Stegostoma tigrinum: one gene and its partner. The protein of the gene in region 2 purifies or fractionates together with the protein of the main gene of each other region. This does not show direct contact. Links are inferred from orthologs where the notes say so. Each region holds a gene or a part of one and is shown on either strand. Other genes may lie near its edges.

Region 1 (12,189 bases), on a different chromosome or scaffold from region 2:
GAAAACCTGCCTTGAACTGTTCCTTCCAATGTGGTTGTAGGCATGCCCACAGTGCTGTTAAAGAGCTACAGGATGTTTTCATCACTTATCCACAAGGAAACTTAAGTAAATGCTTGTGTGCCATTCCAATAATATCACCTTTTGGGAGTGCTTGATCCAGCATGACCACACAGGAAACAATAGTAACCACAACATTAATTCAAAACATAAAAACCTGAGACTTCAAGATGCAACAGTCCAAGGCACATTACAGGACTATTATTAAACAAAACAGGGCAAGGAGTCACACATGGAGATATTAAGTAAGACAACTAAAAGCTTGGTCAAAGAGGCATGTTTCATGGAATGTTTTAAGGAGGAAAATTTGAGGCTGAAGAGATGTGGAAGAGTATTCCAAGTCTCTCTGCTTCAGCATGCTGCTCATCATGCACACGTATCCAAATGACTTAATTTTGTCCAGGTCATTGTTTCTAAAATCTTTCTTGCCATTCTTTGCACGCTTTCTTTTAAGGACATAAGATTTTCAATTTTTCTGCATCCTAAGTACCATCCCTTACTTCCTTCAGCATCCTAGGATGCATCCCATTCATATCTGGTGATTTTTTTCAACTTTTATGTAGAGTCAGCCTTTCTAATACCTCTCTCTCTTAAGTGTTTGTCCATTCAATGTCTCAACTACCTCCTTTTTCGCTATGGTTTGGATAGCCTTTTCTACTGTTGTAAAATCAATCAATGCACTTGAAGTGAAAATGCTCATAACCTAAAACAATCACTTGATAATTGGGAGCACTGCAAGTTATATATGAAATGGGTGCCTCCTTCATTTAGTAGTCCAACAGTTCCTCCCCAATTTATCTCAGACAAAATCTAATTAACATATATTCAGATTATTCAATGTAATAGTTGAAAATTTCCAATTTTCAACTCTTTACTGCTATCATCCCTCCCTACCTTTGAAATCTCGTCCAATCATTTGCCTGTGCCAATATTTCTAATCTTCCAACTTTGATCCACTGTACCCCATTATCCTAGCTTAATTCTAATTACTTCCAGCTTGAAGATTTCTCCCTAAAACACCAGTCTCCATCTTCGGACATAATCCCTTGTACCCATCTGATGCTCCAGTCCAACTGATAGAGGAGCAGAAGGTGAAACTTGCAATTCAAATTGGCAAGATTCAATCCATCAGGGAAATTGAAGAATTGTATATGTAGTTTTTAAAGAGTATTTTTGTTTTTAACTCAGAGTTAGGGAACCAACATGAAGTTTGAATATTGATACTACCAAAAATATTGGTGGTGGTGTCTTTAGCTCACTCAAACTGAAGTGCTGTTTGAACATGCACATTTTTTTCCATGCATGTTGTAGAACGGAGATTTAGATGACAATGGGAAAGGCTGTGATTTTGTTTTCAGCATATGGCTGGCCAGGTAGCCTAATGCTGTCAATGGCATGTGTTGGAAGGATTTCAAGGTTAATCATCAAACTGTTCAGCTGCATTGTGAATGACGTTTCCTGGCCATCAAGTCTCGAGGTGGAACTCTGAGACAGAGCTTCTGGCTCAGAGGTCGGAAATTTGTCCACTGCATTATTACTGTAATCTTAAGATAACAGTGATCGCAAACTCCAAAAAAAATCAATAACTTAAATTATCAAGTGATTAAAAAAAAAATTGTTTTATCATAAATTAGTTTTGGCATTTGAAACCAGATGCAGAATTTATAACAGTTTTTAACTTCTTTATTGAAATTATATAGTAGACTTGCCAGGTAAAGTTAATTGCAAGAGATTCAACAAAATAGAAATAAAAATACAGAGCTGAAACTTTTTAAAATCAGCTGTTGCTGACAAATCTGCAGACTTAATTACAAATCAGAAACTGTCATAGAAATTGCCAGTTCGGCTGTTATGACATGGCCAAGTGCTAACCAAAAATTAAACTCATTTTGAGATTTGGAATGCAACTTAAAATGCAAACCAACCTATACCACAGTGTATTACAGGTTTAAAGTTGAGACGCAACCTTTGTTTGTTCAGACCCCTGAAGTGCGAAGTCTTAAATAAGGTAAATAAAGTTAATGATTCCTTTCTAACCATATCACACATTTCTTTAGTCTAGTTGATACAATTCCATATTCTGAAAATTGAATGCAGATTGTGTTTTATGGTCACTTATAATCTTAATACTTTGGTCACTGGGATTGATTTCCTCAAGAATTTGCAGTGGAGCCGTAGTATTAGTAAACTTAGGAGTGTTCCCATCCTTATGGTTACTTGGAAGGTCATCTTCATCAAGTATATAACCACCATCCACTTCTTCGCACTGTTTAAATTGTACTGATTTTTTACAATTTACAGATTGTGGTTTGTCAGCATATATTGTACTCATGTGAGAGGGTGACATAACTGACTCACTTTTTATTTTAACCTCACTAAGTTTACTTGCATTAACAGCAGTCCAACTGTTACTGTCAAGCAACTGATCCATGTCCTTTGAAACTTTTACAATTGTTCCTTCTCCTGCCATCAGTAACTGGTCTTTGTGATTAGACACAGACTCAGGAGCATCATTTACTAAGGATGTCTCTTTTTTCAATGTGTTATCCTCTGCAGTAGTTTCAGAGGGGTAAATTTCTCCCGTCTGTTGTTGAATGTTTGAATCAGCATTATAAGCTTCATTGTAGTTAACTCCATCTGGCTTCAGGAAAAGTCTATGGGAACTGGTATTCTCACTTTCTTGTTGCTGAAATTATAAAATCAACAGTATTTGCCTGAATTAAAAGATTAGTTGTAAAAAAAAAATCACTGATCAATTTCTCATTTACAAGGCCTCTAAACAAAAATGCCAGTAAAGGCAGCCAAGGATTTGACAGATTTCAGTAATGGTTCCCTGGTATAATATCACTGTTTCTGTGGTTACTTCCGTCTGTTGAGTTTGAGGGAACTGTTTGATATGCACGAATAATAGTACTGAATGTCATTATAATTACCTGAAATAAAGATCTGCATAACAACATTACACAGCAATTTTAAATTTTCATCGAACGCTACCAAAAAATACAAGTAGAATGTAAATATTAGTTTCAGTCTGAAGCAGATTCAACAGTCACAGGTCTCAGTTCCTCAATATTTCAAAAATCTAGCAAAAGAAATTTGCTAACAATTCAAATTTTTAGTTACCAGTGCAGTTAGAGTAACTTTCAAAATAAAATTGGATACCTACTTGAAAAGGAAAACATTGCAGTGACAGAGGAAAGAACAAGAGAATGGTACTAATTGGACAATGTGTTTAAAGAGCTGGCACAAGCATAATAGACCAAATAAGATTCTACGATTCCATGCCAAGAGGTGGTGGATGTAATATTTTTCTTACAGTTATTACCACAAATAATTAATTGAATGAAGAGTAGCAGGAAATGATCAATTTCCAAATGCAGTATACCTAATACAGAACATTTTAAAATATCCAATAGTAAATACAAATAAGATTAACCTGGAATCAAATTTAAGAGAGCTTTACAATTTTTCTATAACATATATGATCAAAGAAAACTACTAAAAGAAAAATCTTGAATTATCTAACCCTATTTTTCCAGGGACACAAAAAACATCCAATTTGGAACCGAGAAAAGAAACAAATACATCAAACTTAAATCATGTGCAAACATACATGTTAAAAGTGAATTTCTGTTTTAACCGAAATTCATTGTTTCCTCAAAATGCTTGAATCTTCAGAACCAATGTTATTTTGTCGATTAACTTGAACAAATTTTATGCAAAAATAAATGTAAGAAATAGGACGAATAGGCCATACAGCCCCTCAAATCTACCCTGCCATTCTGTAAAATCATGGCTAATTCGCCCCAGGTCTGGACTCCTCTTGCGTTTCAGCTTCTTAAAACAGTGTACCAGTTTGGATGGGTTAACAAAGATTTCTGTTTTTCATTAGAATAGCGTCTTTAGGTGATAGGATAGCAAGCTGACTAGCTCGTTGCCTTCCTTGCCATGCTGGATACTTGTAGAGAACTTACGCCCACAGATGATATGTGGTTAAAAAATGACATTGGTTGGGGCAATAAGTGTCTGCAACTTTCCATTGCTAAATGTTGAATAAAATAGCACAATTCACTTTTGACATTCTTGCATTTGGATATTGGATAAGCACTGAATTATGCTCAGCAACAATATTTACTGCCATCAAATACCTAACAATAATCGCTACAGGTTAATGCAGAAAGAATGCTCAGTGTTCAGCAGAGATAACAGAGGAGAAATACAGTAATTGACAAAGATTATCTCGGGAAAGAACATACTTTTAAATCTTCTTAGTTAATATACAACAACTTATTTCTGCTTTGTAAAGCAATGCCATGACTGTTCTGCAATGTTTATCTCAATGGTCAATACAGGATAGTTTGTGAACGATATTCTGTTCTTGTTGAATCTTTGGATCTAGTTTCACATAACTCACCTTAGAATGAATAACAAGACCACTTTCACTGACTTCCGTCACACTAATCAAAGGATGTTTTCTTGATAGCTCATTTGGGACTGGATCCTCCAAAGTAGTACTCAAGAATTGACTGATATTTTCTGAAGTTACAAATAGTTTCTTCTAAATAAAAAGAACACTTTATTCACTTATTTAATACATCTGATGAAACATACTTAATTGTTTATGCACTTTTACAAATCGTACTCCTCGAACAAAATCTACAAATTATTTAAACTTAACTTGACTCCTACAATACTGTAGTATTTTCACAAAGTGTCAACCTACATTAATAAGAATGGGTTTTGGTACTGTGTATTACTGGTATATAGTATAAATGTATTAAAACCACGTGCAAATTTAACTGGTCTCTGAATAAAACAAATAAACATATAATCTCTCACTGAATACATAAAGTGATACAGTTCTAATAAACTGATATTCAAATTAATTTTCAAATGAACCAAGTGTCTTGAAATTTACATTGCCATTCGCATACTTGTAAATCTACAAGTGGGAAACTGCTCAGTCCCAACTACCATTTATAGTATAACTAAAAAATATAACCAATTATGTTAAGTTTTAGTCACGTAATTTCATATTAGATTGTGCAATGTAAGATGGAATAAAAAGCAGTGTTGAATATACTACAACAATACAATTCCTTTTGTTAACTGCCCTCCCTAGTCAATAATTGTCCGTGCAAGAGATTCTTGAATCCACTATACTGCTCACAAATGCAGTCTCCTTCAAACTGGAAACCAAACTCAGCTCAAACTGTCCATTGCAGGTTTAACCTTTTTAATGAAGACACATTAACCTCCCATTCCCACACCTTGATTTCTCCACTGTAGGTAAGTAAAGATTGCATCTTTTTATTTTCTGTATCTTTGAAATGGGGAAAGGTCTGTTATATGTTGACATTTCATAATTGGTTACTCTTGAATGTAATGTAAGGTGTCTCCAAGGTAAACAAAGATGGGCAATCTGAAAATTTCCCTCACCCTTCCAAATGGGATTATGGACCTACCTACAGCATATGGAGTGCAGAGGTACAAGGCAGCTCATCACCACTTTCTCAAGGGCAACTAGGGACAGGTAATAAATGCTGGCCATCAGCAACACCCATGCCCATGAGTGAATTAAGAAAAAAAAGTGGGTGAATGGTGTATACACATTGCACCAGTACATAAGTTACTATATATGCTAAGCATACACAATGTTTGCAACAGGCAAGTGTTTCTGAAATCAACTTTCAATAGATAAAGAGACAAAGATACTGCAATTTGTATTATTTAAAAGATCCAGATCATTTTGTATAGCATTGTAAGGATTTTTTTTGTAATTACTCATTAAATTTATAGCAAGGAAATGACTGCATAAATGTTTTTATCATACTGACAATCCCTGGGAAAGCACCGCCCATCATTGTTTACCTAGGAGACAGCTTACATTATACCCAAGAGGACAATTTCCAACAACATTCTACAATTCATTATGGAAGTTTTTTTTAGGGACTAAGATACTGCATTGCCTTTCATTAACCTAGTTACTAGTTTGTCCCTAAAAATAAACAGCAATAGGATGATTTTAAAATGTTTTCAGTATTGCTTTTAAAAAAGCTGCAGGAATGCACAGACTAATTAGTGAAGGCAGAACAATTGTTGCAATTGCATTTTGTATGTGGCAAGATATTTCTGCGATCTACAAAGTTACCTGCAAACGGTTGCATGTACCTCCAGCATGAAAGCTTTGCCACAAGCCTCGACACTCAGGTGATTTCATTAACACAACTGCAGCATTGTCTTTAGATATATTAACAACTGTTTCTGTGGTGTCCAGCTGATGTTCTGGAGGAAATTGAACTCTCAAAGAATATATGACATCAGAATCCTGTGTTCCAAATATAACACTATATTCATGAGTTTGAAGTACTGACTTGAAGCTTTCTTCATTAATATTTTGCACTTGCAGTATGAATGTTATAGCATCTTTGTTTTGATGGTAATGCAAGTCAGGACATACTGGTTCTGTTTTCTTTAAACAGTTATCTAAGTTGAATGCAGTATTTGCAGAGGAATCTAATTGTAGATAATCATCTATTTCCTCACCCACAGAACGCGTGCATGCCTCTTCCACAGACCCAAGAGATTCTTTACCACTCATTGCATTTGTGACATTTTCCTGTTCTTCAGGATCTACCTCTGAAACAAGTTTGGAAAAAGCGATTACGTCACTTGGTTTCACTAAAGTATTATTTGAAACTAATGCAGTCTCTTTAGTGACTGACTCTGTAAGAGTTTTGCTTTGGCTCAATTTCAAGTGTTCATCATTCTCAGATTGCTCCAGGTTGGAATCTTGTAGGGTTCTAAGTTCAAATTCACTTTTTGGATTCACACAAGCACCAAAACGCTCTCCATTTTGATGACGTAAATGTCTTTCAAGCTCATAAAATTCTGATTCACAATATGATTGGCCACTCTCTGTGGACTCAGTCCTTGATTGTTCAAAATCACCAGCTGAAAACTGTCCAGTTTCTAGGGCTTGCTCCAAACATAGCACAGGCAAAGTAACCACAAGCTGCCTCTTAGATTTGTTAAATGTAGCTGACCCCAGATTTTCATCTACTGGGTAAGGGAGTTTTAAATTAAGCTTGTAAGCCGGTTTCTGTGACTCCAAACTTAAAAATTGCTCAGTTACAGCTAAACAAGCATTTTCAGCAGACTTAAGCAAAGGGAGGTCAATAGTAATCACCAGTTCTTTAGGTCTGGTGCTGGGAGCAGATTCACGAGCGTATCGATAATCTTGCAAATCAACATGTGACCTGTGAACAATGGCATATTTGGGTTGAGTAAACTTGCCGTCTTGTGTTTTTGTATTCTTGTCCTTCACAGCAGATTTTGAACTTTTGCTTGTTGTTTTAGATTTTGTGCCATTTCCAGAGGCCATTTCTGACTTTGGGGAACCAAAGGGGTAAGGAAACCGTAAAGGGTCCTCTTCATCTGGAGGTTCCCTGGGAACACCAGGAATAGGTTTTCGAATGACAGCAGCCTCAGGCATTCCCTTGTATTTTGCTTTTAAAGTTTTAACATTTCTTAAATCTAGTTTGGCATTTAGTTGCTTCTCGATCACTTCAATTGAAGTTTGATCTACCATTGTTTTGAACTTCTGGTTTTTATTCGCCATATACAACGTGTCTGGATGAAAGACTACATCGTAAATCATGTGTTTTCTGCCATCTTTACCCAGATCTTCTCTCCCCGGCGCCAGACTGTAGGGAAGAGACCAATGTTGTCCCACTTTCCCATTGGCACCCTTTCCAGCTTTGCAAACGGGTTTATTTATCAAGTCGTTACTGCACACGTTGATGAAACATTTCTGGTCCCCATTGACGCTGGTTTTTAGGACATAACCTGGTTTGGGATGCACGAACTTAACGTCCATGCCCCTCTCTTTTTCAAGTTGAGTGATTTCCTCTTCGTACTTTTTCTTATTTTCCGGATTGGAGATTTCCTCCGCATATTCACAGAGCATTTTTCTGAACTTTTCATCTTTAAACGCTGTGGAGAAGCGTTCCACTTCATCCTGAGTCAAGTCCAACTCCTCGAGTTTAGAGAAAGACGCCATGTTATAGTTCCGCCTCTTCATCCGCCGGGCGAGGTCGCACCCTGATGACGTCAACATACGAAAAGTTTGGTGATCCTTCACATTAATCTCCCCCTTGATCCAACTCCGAAAGTTTTTTTAAAATCTGTTTAGTAATGTGTTTGAAAGTAACGCGATTTTATGCCTTGGGGATGTAGAACGTTGGGTAACTACGTGTTGTATAATGTGTGGCGGATTAAGGTCGGAAACGACCCGATGTGATGTGTCGTGGTTGCCAAGGAGACGTCGATCAAACCCAAACACAGACCCGGCCTGAGCGCTGCTTTATTTACGATCGGATTGGTAGCATGTTGTAAATAAACTCTGATTGTTATTACACAAATATTGCCCGCAGTTGGGAACTGCCGAAACAAATAGTTTCATCGGTGACGCTGCCTGTAGGATCTTTTAAGTTAAGAAACCAAGTTGAACAAGAATATGGCTCAATATCATAATTACGTGGACACTGGATCGCCAACTCTACGTGATTATCAACTTTCAAATAATTTATCTCTAGTAGTTAGCTGTTGATTTCAAGCATTAGAAGTAGTAAACCTTCCTACTGTCAACTGTCAGAATAAAACTCAATGGATCGAATTACGTACCAGCTGTACAACACTAGTTACGACGTAACTCTAGCACTGATGAATGTGAAGGCAGTGTAGAGGGTACAAAAAATGATTTACAAGAATTGTTCTGTGGATGAATAAGATGGAGCTGTCCTGATTAAAAATAAAAGATTGAGAGTGGAGGTGCAGGTGTTAGACTGGAGTGGACAGTGTCAGAAGTTACACGTAATCAGATTATAGTCCAACAGGTTTATTTGAAATCACAAGCTTTCAGAGTGCTGCTCCTTTGTCGGGTGAAGTGAAGAGAAATGTGCAGGCACAGAATTTATAAGTGGAGAGATATTGGGAAGATAATTCCAGGTAATTAAGAGTGTCAAAAGACTTTGTACTTATCTTTTGACACTCTTAATTACCTGGAATTATCTTCCCATTATCGCTCCGCTTATAAATTCTGTGCCTGCACGCTTCCCTTCACCTCACCTGGTAAAGGAGCAGCATTCCAAAAACTTGTGATTTCAACTAAACCTGTTGGACTATAACCTGATGTCATGCAACTTCTAACTTTGTTCAAATTATGAGTCAGGACAAAGAAGATAACATCAACTTACTTGTTAAAATATTTTTAACATCATAAAATGGCCCAAGGCATTTCATAGGAGCATTATACAGCAAAGTATGTCAGTGAGGTCCACAAAAATTTGTTAAGTGAATAGAGGCCAGCTTTATGTAGTAACTTAAAGGAGGAAAATCTTAAAGCAGTGAAGTAGATAGAGAAACAAGGAGGTTTGGAGAAATTATTCTGAAGCTTAGAACCTAGGCAATTTTAGACCAACCATGGAGCAACTACAATTGAGAGTGTGCAATAGAGCAGAATTAGAGGAGCAAGGCCATGAAGGGATCTGAAAGGTAGGACAAGAATGTTTTTAACTGTGTTGTTTGGTAGTTTCCAATGCAGATCACCAAGCACAGGCAAAGAAAACTGAACTTGATGTGACTTGGTGTCACTAGGTAGCAGCAACATAGTATTATTGAATTTTACATTCAGTTTTAGGCAGAAAATAGTGGGTCCTGGCTAAGATAAACTGGCAATTAGTTTAAAGAATAGGTCAATAGAGATGCAGTAGCAAACATCAAGGAGATATTTCAGAATATACAGTGGATATTTATTCCAATGAATAAGAAAAAAAATCAAAGAGACAGACTTACCATCTGCAGTTAACAAGAAAAGGCTAAAGGTAGCTTCAAATTCAAAGAAAAAGCAGGTCAGAAGACAGGACAGATATTTAAAAGCAGCAAAGCATTACTAAAAAAAAGGAAATAATTATAGAGTACAAAAAAGACAGCCAGAAATATTAAATCATTAGGAAGAGTTTCTATAAATATTTCAACAAAACAGTTAGCGATGTGTTAGTCCTATAGAAAGTTAAACTAGAGAATTAATAATGGAAAATAAGGAAATATCTGATGCAGTGAACAGATGTTTTGCAACTGTCTTCAGTTTAGAAGAAACAAGTAACATATCAGAAGTAACAATAGATCAGGAGATGGAAAGCAGCGAGGTCAGAGGAAAATCACAATCACTTGAGAAGTGTTGCTGAGTAAATTGTTGGGCTGCAAGCTTAAAATATCCAGGCTCTGTTGGGCTTCACCCTAGAGTTCTTAAAAGAAAAGGCTAGTGAGGTAATTAATGTGATAATGGGAACTGCAGATGCTGGAGAATCCAAGATAATAAAATGTGAGGCTGGATGAACACAGCAGGCCAAGCAGCATCTCAGGAGCACAAAAGCTGACGTTTCGGGCCGAGACCCTTCATCAGAGGGGTCTAGGCCCGAAATGTCAGCTTTTGTGTTCGTGAGATGCTGCTGGGCCTGCTGTGTTCATCCAGCCTCACATTTTATTATCTGAGATAATTAATGTATTTGGTTTTAATTTTCCAAAACACACTCCATTCAGGAATGGTCCAACTGGGTTGGAGTATAGCAAAAGGGAGCAAAAAGGGAGGCATAAAGCAGGAAACTACAACAGAGATAATGGGAACTGCAGATGCTGGAGATTCCAAGATAATAAAATGTGAGGCTGGATGAACACAGCAGGCCAAGCAGCATCTCAGGAGCACAAAAGCTGACGTTTCGGGCCTAGACCCTTCATCAGAGCATCTGATGAAGGGTCTAGGCCCGAAACGTCAGCTTTTGTGCTCCTGAGATGCTGCTTGGCCTGCTGTGTTCATCCAGCCTCACATCTAGGAAACTACAACAGTTGGCTTAACATCCGTCATAGGGAAAATGATAGAAGCTATTATTAAAGTTAAGGGAAGGCACTTGGATAAGTTTAAGGTCATCAGGCAGAATTAATATTACAAGGGAAATCATGTTTGACCAATCTACTGGAGTTCATTAAAGATATAATACTTGCTGTAGATAAAGGGGAATTGGTAAATATACTTTAATTAGATTTCCAAAACTTATTTGATAATCTACCACATCAAAGGTTGTTGTGGAAGATAAAAGTTCATAGTGTGGTGATTGCATATTGGTGCGGTTAAAAGATTGGTTCACTGATAACTAATGTGGGCATGAATGGGTCCTTTTCAGGTTGCTGGATGTAACAAGTGGTGTTCCACAAGGATTGGCACTGAGATTTCATCTGTTTACAATTTATATAAATGATTTACGTGAAGGGACGAAGGATATGGCTGCCAAATTTTCTGATGTCACAGATGTAGGAAAGTAAGTTGTGAAGAAGACATGAGAATGCTACAAAAATATATTGATAGATTAAATAAGTGGGCAGAGATCTGTCAAATGGGAATGTAATATGCACAACTTATGAAAGATTAGTATGCATGTAGATAGTAATTGGGCAAGCTAATAGAACATTATTTATTGTTCCAGAGGGCTGCCCTCATTAGAGATTACTGGTGGTGAGTTTAATCCAAAGGTCACCACACTTCAGGTGAGGGGGCAGGGTGAGAAGGTAGAAAATTAATAGTGACCTCAACCAGTGCAGGAATTGAATCCATGCTGTTTGCATCACTGTGCGTTGCAAACCAGCCAACTGAGCTAATTGACCTCCTATTAATTGATATTTGCAAAGGAATAACTTGCTGACTGATGCTGTACGTGGGTTCCACCATGGCTACTTGACTCCGATATTACACCCTCGTAAACATGGACGAAAGGGATGATGCAGGAAGGAGTGGCAAGAATGACCACTTAATATAAATTAAACAGAACAGAGAATGGAATACAAAAGGAGGGAGGTTGTGCTTCAGTTATACAGAGCACTAATCAGACAGCAGTTGGAATACTGTACATCCCCATATTTTCACTTTATTTAAGGAATTGTGTACATGTATTGGAGGCAATTCTGAGAAGGTGGGCTTTTCTTAAGAGGAAAGGTTGGGCATGTTAAGCTTTTATCCATTGGAGTTTAGAAGAGTAAGAAGTAACTTGATTGAAATACAGAAGATCCTGAGAGGTTTGA
Region 2 (12,383 bases):
TCCCTGGCTCCCCAGAGGGTCCGAGGATAAATCGCATCTGGCCCAGGGGACTTATCTATCTTCAGCATCTGAAGGATTTCTAATAACTCTTCCTTGTGAATCTCAATCCCACCTAGTCTAGTAGCCTGTATCTCAGTATTCTCCTCGACAACATTGTCATTTTCTAGAGTGAATACTGTTGAAAAATATTCATTTAGCACTTCCCCTATCTCATCTGACTCCACACACAACTTACCACTAGTATCCTTGATTGGGCCTAATCTTACTTTCATCATTCTTTTATTCCTTAAATACCTATAGAAAGCCTTAGGGTTTACCCTGATCCTATCCGCCAACAACTTCTCATGTCTCCTCATGGCTCTTCTCAGCTCTCTCTTTAGGTCTTTCCTAGCTACCTCGTAGCCCTCAAGTGCCCTAACTGAGCCTTCACATCTCATCCTAACATAAGCCTTCTTCTTCCTCTTGACCAGAGATTCCACCTCCTTTGTAAACCACGGCTCCCGCACTCTACAGCTTCCTCCCTGCCTGACAGGTACATACTTATCTAGGACACACAGGAGCTTTTCCTTGAATAAGCTCCACATTTCTAATGTGCCCATCCCCTGCAGTTTCCTTCCCCATCCTATGCTCCCTAAATCTTGCCTAATCTCATCGTAATTGCCTTTCCCCCAGCTATAACTCTTGCCCAGTGGTATACACCTATCCCTTTCCATCACTAAAGTAAACATAACAGAATTGTGATCACTATCACCAAAGTGCTCACCTACTTCCAAATCTAACACCTGGCCAGGCTCATTACCCAGTACCAAATCTAATGTGTCTTCTCCCCTTGTTGGCCTATCTACATACTGTGTCAGGAAGACCTCCTGCACACACTGGACAAAAACTGGCCCATCTATAGTGCTCGAACTACAGTGTTCCCAGTCAATATTTGGAATGTTGACGTCCCCCATGACAACTACCCTGTCTCTCTCACTCCTATCAAGAATCATCTTTGCTATCCTTTCCTCTACATCTCTGGAACTATTCGGAGGCCTACAGAAAACTCCCAACAGGGTGACCTCTCCTTTCCTATTTCTAACCTCAGCCTAAACTACCTCAGTTGACGAATTCCCAAACATCCTTTCTGCAACTGTAATACTGTCCTTGACCAACAATGCCACACCTCCGCCCCTTTTACCATCTTCTCTGTATTTACTGAAACATCTAAATCCCGGAACCTGCAACAACCATTCCTGTCCCTGCTCTATCCATGTCTCTGAAATGGCCACAACATCGAAGTCCCAGGTACCAACCCATGCTGCAAGTTCACCCATCTTATTCCGGACGCTCCTGGCATTGAAGTAGACATACTTCAAACCAACTTCTTGCTTGCCGGTGCCATCTTGCTTCCCTGAAACTTTATTTTGGACCACCCTACTCTCAACCTTTTCTATAGTCGAACTACAATTTTGGTGCCCATCCCCCTGCTGAATTAGTTTAAACCCACCCGAATAGCCTTAGCAAATTTCCCCCCCAGGATATCGGTACCCTCTGGTTCAGGTGAAGACCATCTTGCTTGTAGAGGTCCCACCTACCCCAGAAAGAGCCCCAATTACCCAAGAATCCAAAACCCTCCCTCCTGCACCATCCCTGTAGCCACGTGTTCAACTCCTCTCTCTCCCTATTCCTCGCCTCACTAGCATGTGGCACGGGCAAACCAGAGACAACAACTCTGTTCATCCTAGCTCTCAGCTTCCATCCTAGCTCCCTGAATTTCTGCCTTAAATCCCCATCTCTCTTCCTACCTATGTCATTGGTGCCAATGTGGACCACGACTTGGGGCTGCTCCCCCTCCCCCTTAAGGATCCCAAAAACACAATCAGAGACATCACGCACCCTGGCACCTGGGAGGCAACACACCAACCGTGAGTCCCTCTCGTCCCCACAGAACCTCCTATCTGTCCCCCTAACATTGGAGCCCCCAATGACTCTGCTCCTCTTCCCCCTTCCCTTCTGAGCAGCAGGGACAGACTCTGTGCCAGAGACTCTATGTGAGCAGTGTTCAAGCTAATCCATCATAATCCACTAATGTCATTCTGTTGTATTGAAAGCAATCGTTGACTTACTATGTTCATTGTTACACTTAGTACATCCATTTTTACTACCAGTGACTGTTTTTCACAATTACCCACTCATTCACTCTCCTTCATCCCCAGTGAGACAAACAGTCATCCAATTATACCTTTGCGCACACAACAAACATTGGATATGCTTCCATTGGGTATGCTTTTTATAATATCCGAAGCAATAAGTAATAAACCTCATCTGATAAAAGCTTCAAATAAGAAAATGTACTGTGGATGCTGGAGATCTGACATAAAAACAGGCAATGCTGGAAAAACTCAGCAGGTCTGGCAGCATCTGTGAGGAGAGAAACAGTTAATCTTTCAGGTTCAAAGCTACAACTTCACAAATAACTTAAAATATAGTTAATTTTCCTACAAATTGTGACTGTGGGAGCTTATTTACAATAGTCTTTACATTTTTGAAAACTGAAACAGCCTTTTTATTGTTGGTTCCTATCCAAATTGGTGAGTTCCCATTTCTGATAAAATTTTCAAGCAGTTTAATTTCAACCAGGTTGTTCTTCTTTATATTCTACAAAAGAGGAACAGAATTTTTGGATTTTTGATATGTCTCTTTTTTTAAAGCAGAAGTAATTGCATGACAGCATTGAGTTTAAACCGTTTCCCCATCCATATCGAAACTAACTAAACTTTAAGGGTTGTATTAGACTAAGCATAGTATGCAACACTCACATATAATCATTCTTCAAACTGCTAAGCACTAGGTTAAAGGAACGGTCAGTAAGTCAAAATTAGATTTTAAACAAGCCTTCTTTTTCGGAAGAATAATAAATACTCAAAAGCATTCCAGTTTCTCAAACCTATCTGCTAAATGTGTAAAAGCATGAGGAAAATAAATTCTGAAAGATCATTAAGTAAGATCTATTGGCATCAATCATAGGAGTATTTGCATTTTAGAATGCAACCTGCTAAATGTTTTTAATTGTGGAAAACCCCAATCAAAATGACCAAGAGTAAAATGAACAACAATTGATGAATTGAGAAGTATATGAAACAAATTTGTTTATTTTCTTCAAGACAAAGTCTGCCAGAGAATTACATTGTGCAGGCAGCAACTTGCATTCATATGGCGCCTTTAAATAGATAGAATAGTTACAAAGTACTTCACAGAAGCATAATCAAGTAAAATATTGAAATTACATTTGACTTTTCAAATATAAAATATTGGCATAAATCTACACATGTTCTATCAAGACAAGCATTGAGTCCACAACATTTGAAATAATGAACAGGAACAGTTTAAATACAATATCTTAATGATTGTAGTAATCCAAAGAGTATTTGAGTTTGAGTAGTAATTATTGAATAATCTAATAAATCCAGTAATTCCTTAGTTTGCAGCCGGAAAAACAATCATGAGATAAAAAGAAAAGAAATGCATCCTAAATCATAACTTACATCCAAAAAGCATAAATGGTATTGATGTAGATATCTGAACCTACACTGTTTGCTTGTTAAGCCTGTCAAACCAGATTTGGAGTGTTAACATACAAAGCTTTCATAGCACTAATCTCCTCACTGAAAATAGACTGCTCTTAATATACTTATTGATCCCGATCATACTACTCACCACTGTTTTGTTAGATCAGCTAAGTTCAACAATGAATTAAGCCATAGATTTAAATCAATAACAATGACTCTTTGATGATCCTTGTCCAAGTTGGCCTTTCAACTGGTCAAGTTCAAATAAAAACAGCCCTCACTACATTTCTCTATATGCTATTTTTACAATGGTACTAACCAACCAAATTTAAAAGCCTCATTAAAATGGAATTTGGGCGAAGCACATTAAGCATTCAGAAGTCACATTTCAGAAAATACCCATTGACTTATTTGTATCCTGGTTTACATAAAGAATTATGTCCTATTGTAAATGCTCCGTGATGCCCCGGGTTTGTTTCTCCTTCATCGTGACATCAATTGTCAATCTATAGTAAAAATGTGTGCACTTATTGTGAAAGTTTTCACAATTGAAAGATCATTTGATCCAAAAATCCATCAGTTCTGTCTTTTCTGCTTTCAGACAGTTGAGCACTGGGAAAGATGCAAAGGCCGAAGCATTCTGCAGGAGCCCAGCTATACAGTTAAATAGGGTAGTAGTGAGGGACCTGAAATATAGGGAAGTCTGGGATGGAGTTTATTGAGAGTTGCTTTTTGGAGCTAAGTATGTCGAGGGACAGAGCTTTTGGAGCAATTGGGAAAAGGATTTGGGAGCTCTTTGCAAGCGGGGAAGAGAGAGACTCGAAGTTGGGAGACCGACAAGTTGGCAAGATGCAGGTAATGATCAACAGAATGTAATTCCTGAGAACTGAGATTTACCCCATTAGAAACAGGTTGTGAAACCTCCGACAGTAACGTTTTTGACACACAAGAAGCCAGAACGTGACCCTGAGGGGCAAAGTGGAAAAAGAGAGAGAAACCTCTGGAGACCAGAGAATGTGATCACCTGGAGTAAAGTTTGTCACTGCTAGGAGCAGAGAGTCACCCCTGGGAACACGGTGTAACCCCTGTCAAATACAGTTTGTGACTCTCTGGAACCTGAGAGACTCTGGGAACAGAAGTGTAGCTATCAAGGGCAAGAAGTCACTGAAGAAAGGACGTGGTTATAGGGCAAGAAGGAGAGTTGCAATGTAACATGTAACATCAAGAAAAGAAAACAGGAGAGTGGAGAGGTGGTGGAATGGGGGCAGCTTTGAGATAATATACATTAGAAAGACTGAAAAGTTATCAAGGTAAAGCAACCCCAAACTATATTGGAAACTGAAATGCAGCCATATTGCTCAAGCATTTGCAAGGGACCACTTGGTTATTGTGAGGTGAAGACGATGAAAGATATTGGAAAATGGGAAGAATTAAATTCTGGGTAAGATACTGCATTTGTTTTTGAGTGCTTAATTCTAGTGTTTATTATTTGATCGATTTTTAAAAAAATTTTCTAAAGGGTGGGTCAGCTTCTCAAAGGAATTCAAAATATGCCTATGTTTCATTTTGTCATGAGCATCACAGGCAAAGTCAGCCTTTGTCACTCAGAGATAATGGGAACTGCAGATGCTGGAGAATCCAAGATAACAAAGTGTGAAGCTGGATGAACACAGCAGGCCAAGCAGCGTCTCAGGAGCAAGATGCTGCTTGGCCTGCTGTGTTCATCCAGCTTCACACTTTGTTATCTTTGTCACTCATTCCCACTTTCAGGGTTTTTAAAGATAATGAAATGTGAGGCTGGATGAACACAGCAGGCCCAGCAGCATCTCAGGAGCACAAAAGCTGATGTTTCGGGCCTAGACCCTCCCGAAACGTCAGAGGGTCTAGGCCGGAAACGTCAGCTTTTGTGCTCCTGAGATGCTGCTGGGCCTGCTGTGTTCATCCAGCCTCACATTTCATTATCTTGGATTCTCCAGCATCTGCAGTTCCCATTATCACTGATACAATTCAGGGTTTTTTAATGTGTTTTTATGAATGGAAGTCTTTTCACGTACAGTGAAATAATTGTTTATGATTGATTGCATTTTCTCATGTACTACGTAACAGTCAGGATACAATTCGGATTAACTTTACCAGGGTAAAATAAACAATACAAATTACAGTCATTGTCAGAAAGTAAGACGAAAGGACGGAGAAGTAAAATCTCTGCATGCTTACAACCCTCACATCTTTACGCCAGAACACGTAAATTATGTTCCCATAATTCTGCCTGGCTGACAGTAAATACTGTCTGTGCAATAGCTCTTGTGTCTTTGTAAATGACTTCCTCAACTGTGCACCCACTTTCACGATTACCCAAAAACGCAACAGCTATTTTTTTTTCATCAAAATGAATAAGTGGTCATTTTCACCTTAGGATCAACTTGCCAAGTTTACACAATTTGTAGATGTACTCGGGAGGAGATCTTTTTTACTAAAGATATAATCTTTTACAAAGGTATAACTGACTTTTGTAATTAATATGGCAACCGTGTGTTCTGTGCTGACCCATGTGTCCTGCACTCAATTGTACAAAGCTTGGTTCAAAATTATATGTAATTAAGGCATGTTGAAGTTAGTATTCTACACATCCACAATCTTTTCAGTAAAAATTTTAAACATTCTTCAAAGATTCCTCGGCAGTAGCTCCATAAATCAAATAAAAGCAAAATATTGCAGGTGCTGAAGATTTAAAGTAAAAGTAGAAAGTGCTGGAGAAGTTCAGCAAGGTTGGCAGTAACGGTGGAGAGAGAAAAATAGAGTTAACACTTCGAGTCCAACATGACTGTGAAAGTTCGGGAAAGCGTTTTTAGATTTGAAACGTTAACTCGGTTTCTCTCTCCACAGATGCTGCCAGACCTGCTGAGTTTCTCTGGCATTCTCTGTCTTTGTTAATGCAATAATTCATGTTTGGTTTATTTCTTTAAATAACAGGTAACTGTCCACCAAAGTCTCTTGCTCTAAAGCCAGCTTTCATTCGCAATATCAGAGATTGTCTTGCTGTTGCTCTGATTTTACAAAGTGCACATACTTACAGAAGACCTCAAAGTGCCATTTTTAAGTCCTTTTCGTTGAGGCTGATTCGTTTCTAAAGGACGGCATCCACATTTCAATCGTTTTGCCTGCTTCACAGATCTCTTTTCACACCAATCTCTGCAATGTTTTAAGATTAGGTAGCTCATCTCACAAATGTTTAGCAGTATGCACAGAACCGAGGAGGCAACCATGCAGTAGAGGAAGATGGTCTTTTCTGTTGGCCGACTGACAAAACAATCCACCACATTAGGGCAAGGTTTGATCTCACACTTCAAAAGGTGAGGAATAATGAAGCCATCGTACATCCATGCCAGCACAAACAGGAAACTGAACTCAACTCCTGTTTTGAACACTAGGCTAAAGAAATAGGTCCACCACAGACCTCCATCTATGTTCCCTTTGTCTTTGTACAGCTTTTTTTTGTACTTCTTCTCTCGGTGTTCCCTGTAACCTACATGCATGACAACCAGAAGAGAAGGGGTAGAAACCAAGATAAGTTGCAGTGCCCAAAGTCTTGAGTGCGACACTGGAAAGAAGTGGTCGAAACATACATTTTCACAACCAACTTGCCTTGAGTTGCAGGTAAACTCCTTCTGTTCATCATTCCAGACACGTTCTGCAGCCACCACATAGATAAGGACTCGGAATACGAACATAACACTCAACCAGATTCTCCCCACAACAGTGGAGTATTTATTCACTCCGCTCAAAACATCACGGAGTAAACTCCAGCTCATGGCTCCTCAATAACTTGATGATGAATCTACAGAATAGAGAAAAGAAATTTGAAATTAATGCACTGGATGAGTTATAGTTATTTTAATCAATCTTATCAGACTTGCATGACACATCTCTGGGGCAGCTGGGCCTTGAACCTAGCCCACTCAGCCCAGGCTTAGGGAGTCTACCACTGCACCCCAAGGGACATCGCCACAATTTGCACTGTCTTAGTTTAATGGCAGCACTTATTTATGTAGAGCATCTAATGAAATAAATCTCCCCAAGAACCCACACAGAAGTGTTGTAATACTCGCATAAAGGAGTATTGGGCAGTGGACCAAAGCATTGAGAACACAAGAGATAGGAGCAGGTGTAGGCCATTCAGCCTTTCAAGTCTGACCTACCATTCATTAGGATCATGGCCAAGGCTCAACTCTCCTTTCACCAGCTCTTCATTGCCCACAACTCCCCCAGATTTCAAAAATCTATCTACCTTCTTTTTAAATACTTTCAGTGATCCAATCTCTGGGGTAGAGAATTCCAGATGTTCTCTGGCTTCTGTGCAACATTCCCTCTAAGCTGCTTAGAGGCAGCTGCTCTGATATTCTGCACCCAACAGTCAGCAGTGGCATGCTGATCCTGTGGTTGATATCCAGTTCCAGAAGCCATGCTTGGACCCCTGAGAACCCATGCAGCTGTTAAGGAAAATTAGAGGGAATGCCATCTCTGGGAGAAGAAAATCCTTTATAAATCTCTATAAGGTCACCCCTCAACCTCCTGTGCTCCAGCGAATAAAGGTCCCAGCCTAACCAGTCTCTCCTTATAAGTCAAACCTTCCATTCCCAGACACATCCAGGGAATCTGTTTTGACCCCTTAAACCATTAATTCCTTCGTGGTTTACCTAAGGATTATTTGTGCAAATTTTGAGGGCTGTTCCCCTGGTTTTCCATGGTAAGTTGTGAGGGTTTTCCAATCTGCAATTCTGGTGGGCAAGGTTCAGTGCTAGCAGCTGAAACTCAAAAACATCTGCCCTGATTCCAACCATTTTGAATACTATCTCAGTCCTTTATCTGTCCATCTTAATTTGAGTGCCTTTTCCTTTCGAACTCAGTATTGAAGATCAAAGTTGTGATATGAAGGTGATATGTAAAATCATAGCAAGGCAACAGTTGGAGTATTGATTACAGTTTTGGTCTACACGTTACAGGAAGAAGGTGAAGGCAATGGAGGGAGAGTATAGTACAGACTTTCTTCAATCAGGAAGGGCCTCCTCAGAGAGCTGCTGGCCAATCAGACACTGACAGGCCTCCAAATCAGGAGCAGTGGCTACAGCCAGTACTGTACTGCTCCTTCACCTGAGATCGTCACTGCATCCCTAGAGAGAGAAAAGAGTGTATGGGATATGCTGGAAGGAAAGGAGGTACCAGCTAAAAGGGTAGGAAGGCTGTGGCCAAACAACTGAGGGCTGAGGGGAACCCATCTTAGAAAGCCCAGGAGCCTGATAAGAAGGGACAGCTGTAACCTCTCTCCCCACTGCAGCCTGTCTCCATCCCCCACCGCTTGCTACAGTGTTCTAGTGAAGACCAGCGCAAGCTGGAGGAACAACACCTCATTTTCCGCTTGGGGACCCTACAGCCCGCTGGACTCAATATCGAGTTCAATAATTTTAGGGCCTAAACTCACCCATGTCCCAGCCCCCACCCCACACACCAGGCCTTGTCACCACATAGCCTGCCACTACACACCCCCTGTTATTAGTCACTAACGGTCCCCATTAACAACTATTCACCCTCCCAGCCTGATCGTTAGCAACTCCTTTGTTTGTCCAACTGTCTTTCTCTCTCTTTGGGGTCTATCCTATCATTTACTCCCTACCCCACCCACCTCCCTATTTTCTGCATATAAACTGACAATTTCCCAGCCACCATCAGCTCTGAAGAAGGGTGACTGGACTGAAATGTTAAGTCTGTTTTCTCCTCCACAGATGCTACCAGACCTGCTGAGCTTTTCCAGCAACTTCAGTTTTTGTTCCTGATTTACAGCATCCACCATTCTTTAGGTTTTTATTATTATTGTAGATCCTACATTTTAAAGAGATTAATATACAGTGGTTTAATTGAGAGTTCCAAACAAAAATGCAAATATATTTTTGATTTAGTCTAATATAGGATTCCTTAGTCAAGATAATAAAGTGTGAAGTTGGATGAACACAGCAGGCCATCAGCATCTCAGGAGCTTTTGTGCTCCTGAGATGCTGCTTGGCCTGCTGTGTTCATCCAGCTTCACACTTTATTATCTTGGATTCTCCAGCATCTGCAGTTCCCATTATCCCTTCCTTAGTCAAGCTTGTTTTTTGTAAATTGATACTGCATTTTAAATTAATTAATTACACAGATGTATTTTGTTGTGGCTTATGATGGAAGTTGCTTTGCATTGATAAATTTATACAGACTCTGTAAATAGAAAAAGCTGGTTTTGGTAGTCAAATTTTAATTCAATGCAGAGTTTGTTGACATAGGTCTGCAGCAATATCAAGCAAATACATCATTCAATTTCATTGCATTCTCTTTTCATATGTTTCATTAATACACCCAAAGTCAAATCAGAGACAAATTACATCTTTCCCTACGATGAATATTAAACATAAATGTTGAAGAATGAAATATTGAACATGCAATTTTTTAACCAGGCAGAATTGGCAAATTCTGTGTAAATCACCTCACTGTAACCAAGGAACTCCTTCATGATCAACAACATATTCAGTTGTTCTTTTTCCATCTAACACCTGCTTCATTCTGTCAGCAGTCGTGCTGTTGAATTTGTCAGTTTAAGATCCCAGTAATTATACAACAATTGTTACTGCCATCGAAGCTCCAGGCTCCTGAGCAACCATGATCTGTCAGTAATATGATGAGTTTAGCTCATAAGCAATTGTTTATGGTGTACAAATGTTTATCGTGGGTTTGTACAGCATTTCACTTGATAATTTGTGTCCTTGTTTAGGCTTAAATTTACTCTGCATTTAAGTTTAATCAATAAAGTAAAATTTTAGTCTGGCTCCTGTCTAGTTTAGTGACATTACTGTTTTTTTTTCTGAGATGGTGATCAGGACTGTTCAAGGAGAGGACATCAGTAATGTGGAATTGGTCAGTCTCCCACATCTGCGTGCCAGCACCAGGTACCCGTGAGCTAGGAATAATACAAAAAATCTTTGTTGGTATGGAGAAGGTTCTAGAAGGCAGGAACATAGACACAGGAGGAAATAACCTCTACACCCTCCAGACTCACTTCATTTATCCCTAAGCATTTATTTTTCAATTCATTTGGCCAGCTCATCTCAGCTTTTGGCTTAAAAAAGGTCATCCCAGGATCAAATGCAAAGTGAGCTATGGGAGTGGTCAGGGTGGATTAGTGGCCAGATTGTGGGCACATTGTGAGGGAGCTGTGCATTTTCTGTGGTCAGTCGTCATTGGTAGAATAGGAGCAATGGGTGTGTCAGTCCACATTAAACTAAGTGACCTATTAGTTTGAGTGAAACTTTATAACTATGCATTACAGTTGCAAGAAGATTACAGCTGAGATAATCTGCTCCTCAGTACAGACTAGAAGGCTGAGTACAATCATTACAACAATCACCAACAACATCACCCAAGCCTGCCCATCCAAACAAAACAAAATACAGCAGATGGTGGAAATCTGAAGGAACTAAGTGAAAGCTCCAAACCAAGGAATATGCATGCACATCACTGTTAAAGTGTCATGTTGTGTGCAGTTAAGAAATAAAACAGACAATAAAATATGTCACTGCAATATTCATGCCATTGTCTTCTTTAGGGAATGGATAAATCACAAGCATTTAACCGAATGAATGAAATGCTTCTAGAGGCAACAGCAACAAACTCCAACATGGAAAAGGACAACCCACAAGGACACAAAAACAGAAAGTGCTAGAGAAGCTCAGCAGGTTTGGCAGCATCTCGAGAGAGAGTGAGAAACAGGGCTAATGTATCAAATTCAGTAACCTTCTTCTGAAGCCAAAAGGACTCTTGGTATCTTCCTGCGAGGCCCTTGTGGTAGAAACTACCACTCAAGGATTGGCCTCTTCAGCCAGCAGCAAAGGTGCAACCAAAAGGTGCATGTATATCATTATTCACAGGTGGAAGGATACCTGAATCACTGAAGTCGTTTGGAACCACTTGAACCAGCACTGACCAGTCTATTGCAACCAAATGTTGGGTGTTGTATAGGGTAAGCAGCCGATATAATTTTCTTGCTTTGTATGTTCCATCTATGCTTTACACAAATGTAATCGATTCTCCGAAGTTTTACTTTGTTAGGTATTCCCTCCTTGTCTGCATTCACAATGTCGGAATTTCAACATTGTTGCACTGAGCCCAGCTATAGTACTGTGAGGTTTTATGCCTTCCCATCGCCAACAATGAAGGGAGAGTAGGGAGCATGGAATAAGGGTAAAAATGGCATTTCATTTTTCTAGTTTCGAAGTTTTATTTTAAGGAGTGGATTTCCTTGATCCTGTAATGTATACCATTATGTTGCCCTTGCGCCCTTTCTCAAAGAATTTTGTGTATCTTTTCATTGTGAAAACTGCTTGAGGGTTTGCTATTTTTACTCCACCTTTTTCCTCCTGTTTATTCAAATTCCACCTGATTGACTAGGCAGTTCCGTGTCAATAGTGTGTGGGGTTTTTATACCATGACGTGGATAATTGTAAGTCGGTTTGAACCTGAAATCCATTTCATAGACAGGGTGTGATTCATATTGGCCAAGAGGCATGGAATATTTATTAAACTTCTCTCTCAGAAGGTGGAGCCAGACAAACCCAAGCCATTGGAGATAAAACTCTGACCGTGTTGATTTGTGTGTCTCACCCAGCTGCAGGATGTATTTAGAAACAGCAATAAAGAAGAGTATGTCTGGAAGCCCAGCTGAATTAGGGATGGTAAATTGGGAATCCCCGAAGCTCTGGTCAAAACCACCACTGGGAAGTCAGGCAGTGTCAGTGCAGGTAGGGGATT

What was found.
Region 1: the proteins of ube3d (region 2) and dnaaf2 purify together in Homo sapiens (affinity purification with mass spectrometry; 4 studies listed by BioGRID and IntAct, counting the BioPlex papers as one, with this or other methods). This does not show direct contact. The link is inferred for Stegostoma tigrinum from reciprocal best matches to the Homo sapiens genes UBE3D and DNAAF2.

What each region holds. Positions count from the first base shown.
Region 1 is NC_081363.1:35,789,087-35,801,275, forward strand, and holds the start of dnaaf2 (protein kintoun), read right to left. Parts: upstream 8,134-12,189; 5' UTR 8,120-8,133; coding exon 6,209-8,119; intron 4,616-6,208; coding exon 4,472-4,615; intron 2,744-4,471; coding exon 2,111-2,743; 3' UTR 1-2,110. UniProt on the Homo sapiens protein: Required for cytoplasmic pre-assembly of axonemal dyneins, thereby playing a central role in motility in cilia and flagella.
Region 2 is NC_081357.1:39,203,007-39,215,389, forward strand, and holds the start of ube3d (E3 ubiquitin-protein ligase E3D), read right to left. Parts: upstream 5,158-12,383; 5' UTR 3,700-5,157; intron 1-3,699. Other genes in the region: gap junction beta-7 protein-like, read right to left, coding at 6,605-7,363. UniProt on the Homo sapiens protein: E3 ubiquitin-protein ligase which accepts ubiquitin from specific E2 ubiquitin-conjugating enzymes, and transfers it to substrates, generally promoting their degradation by the proteasome.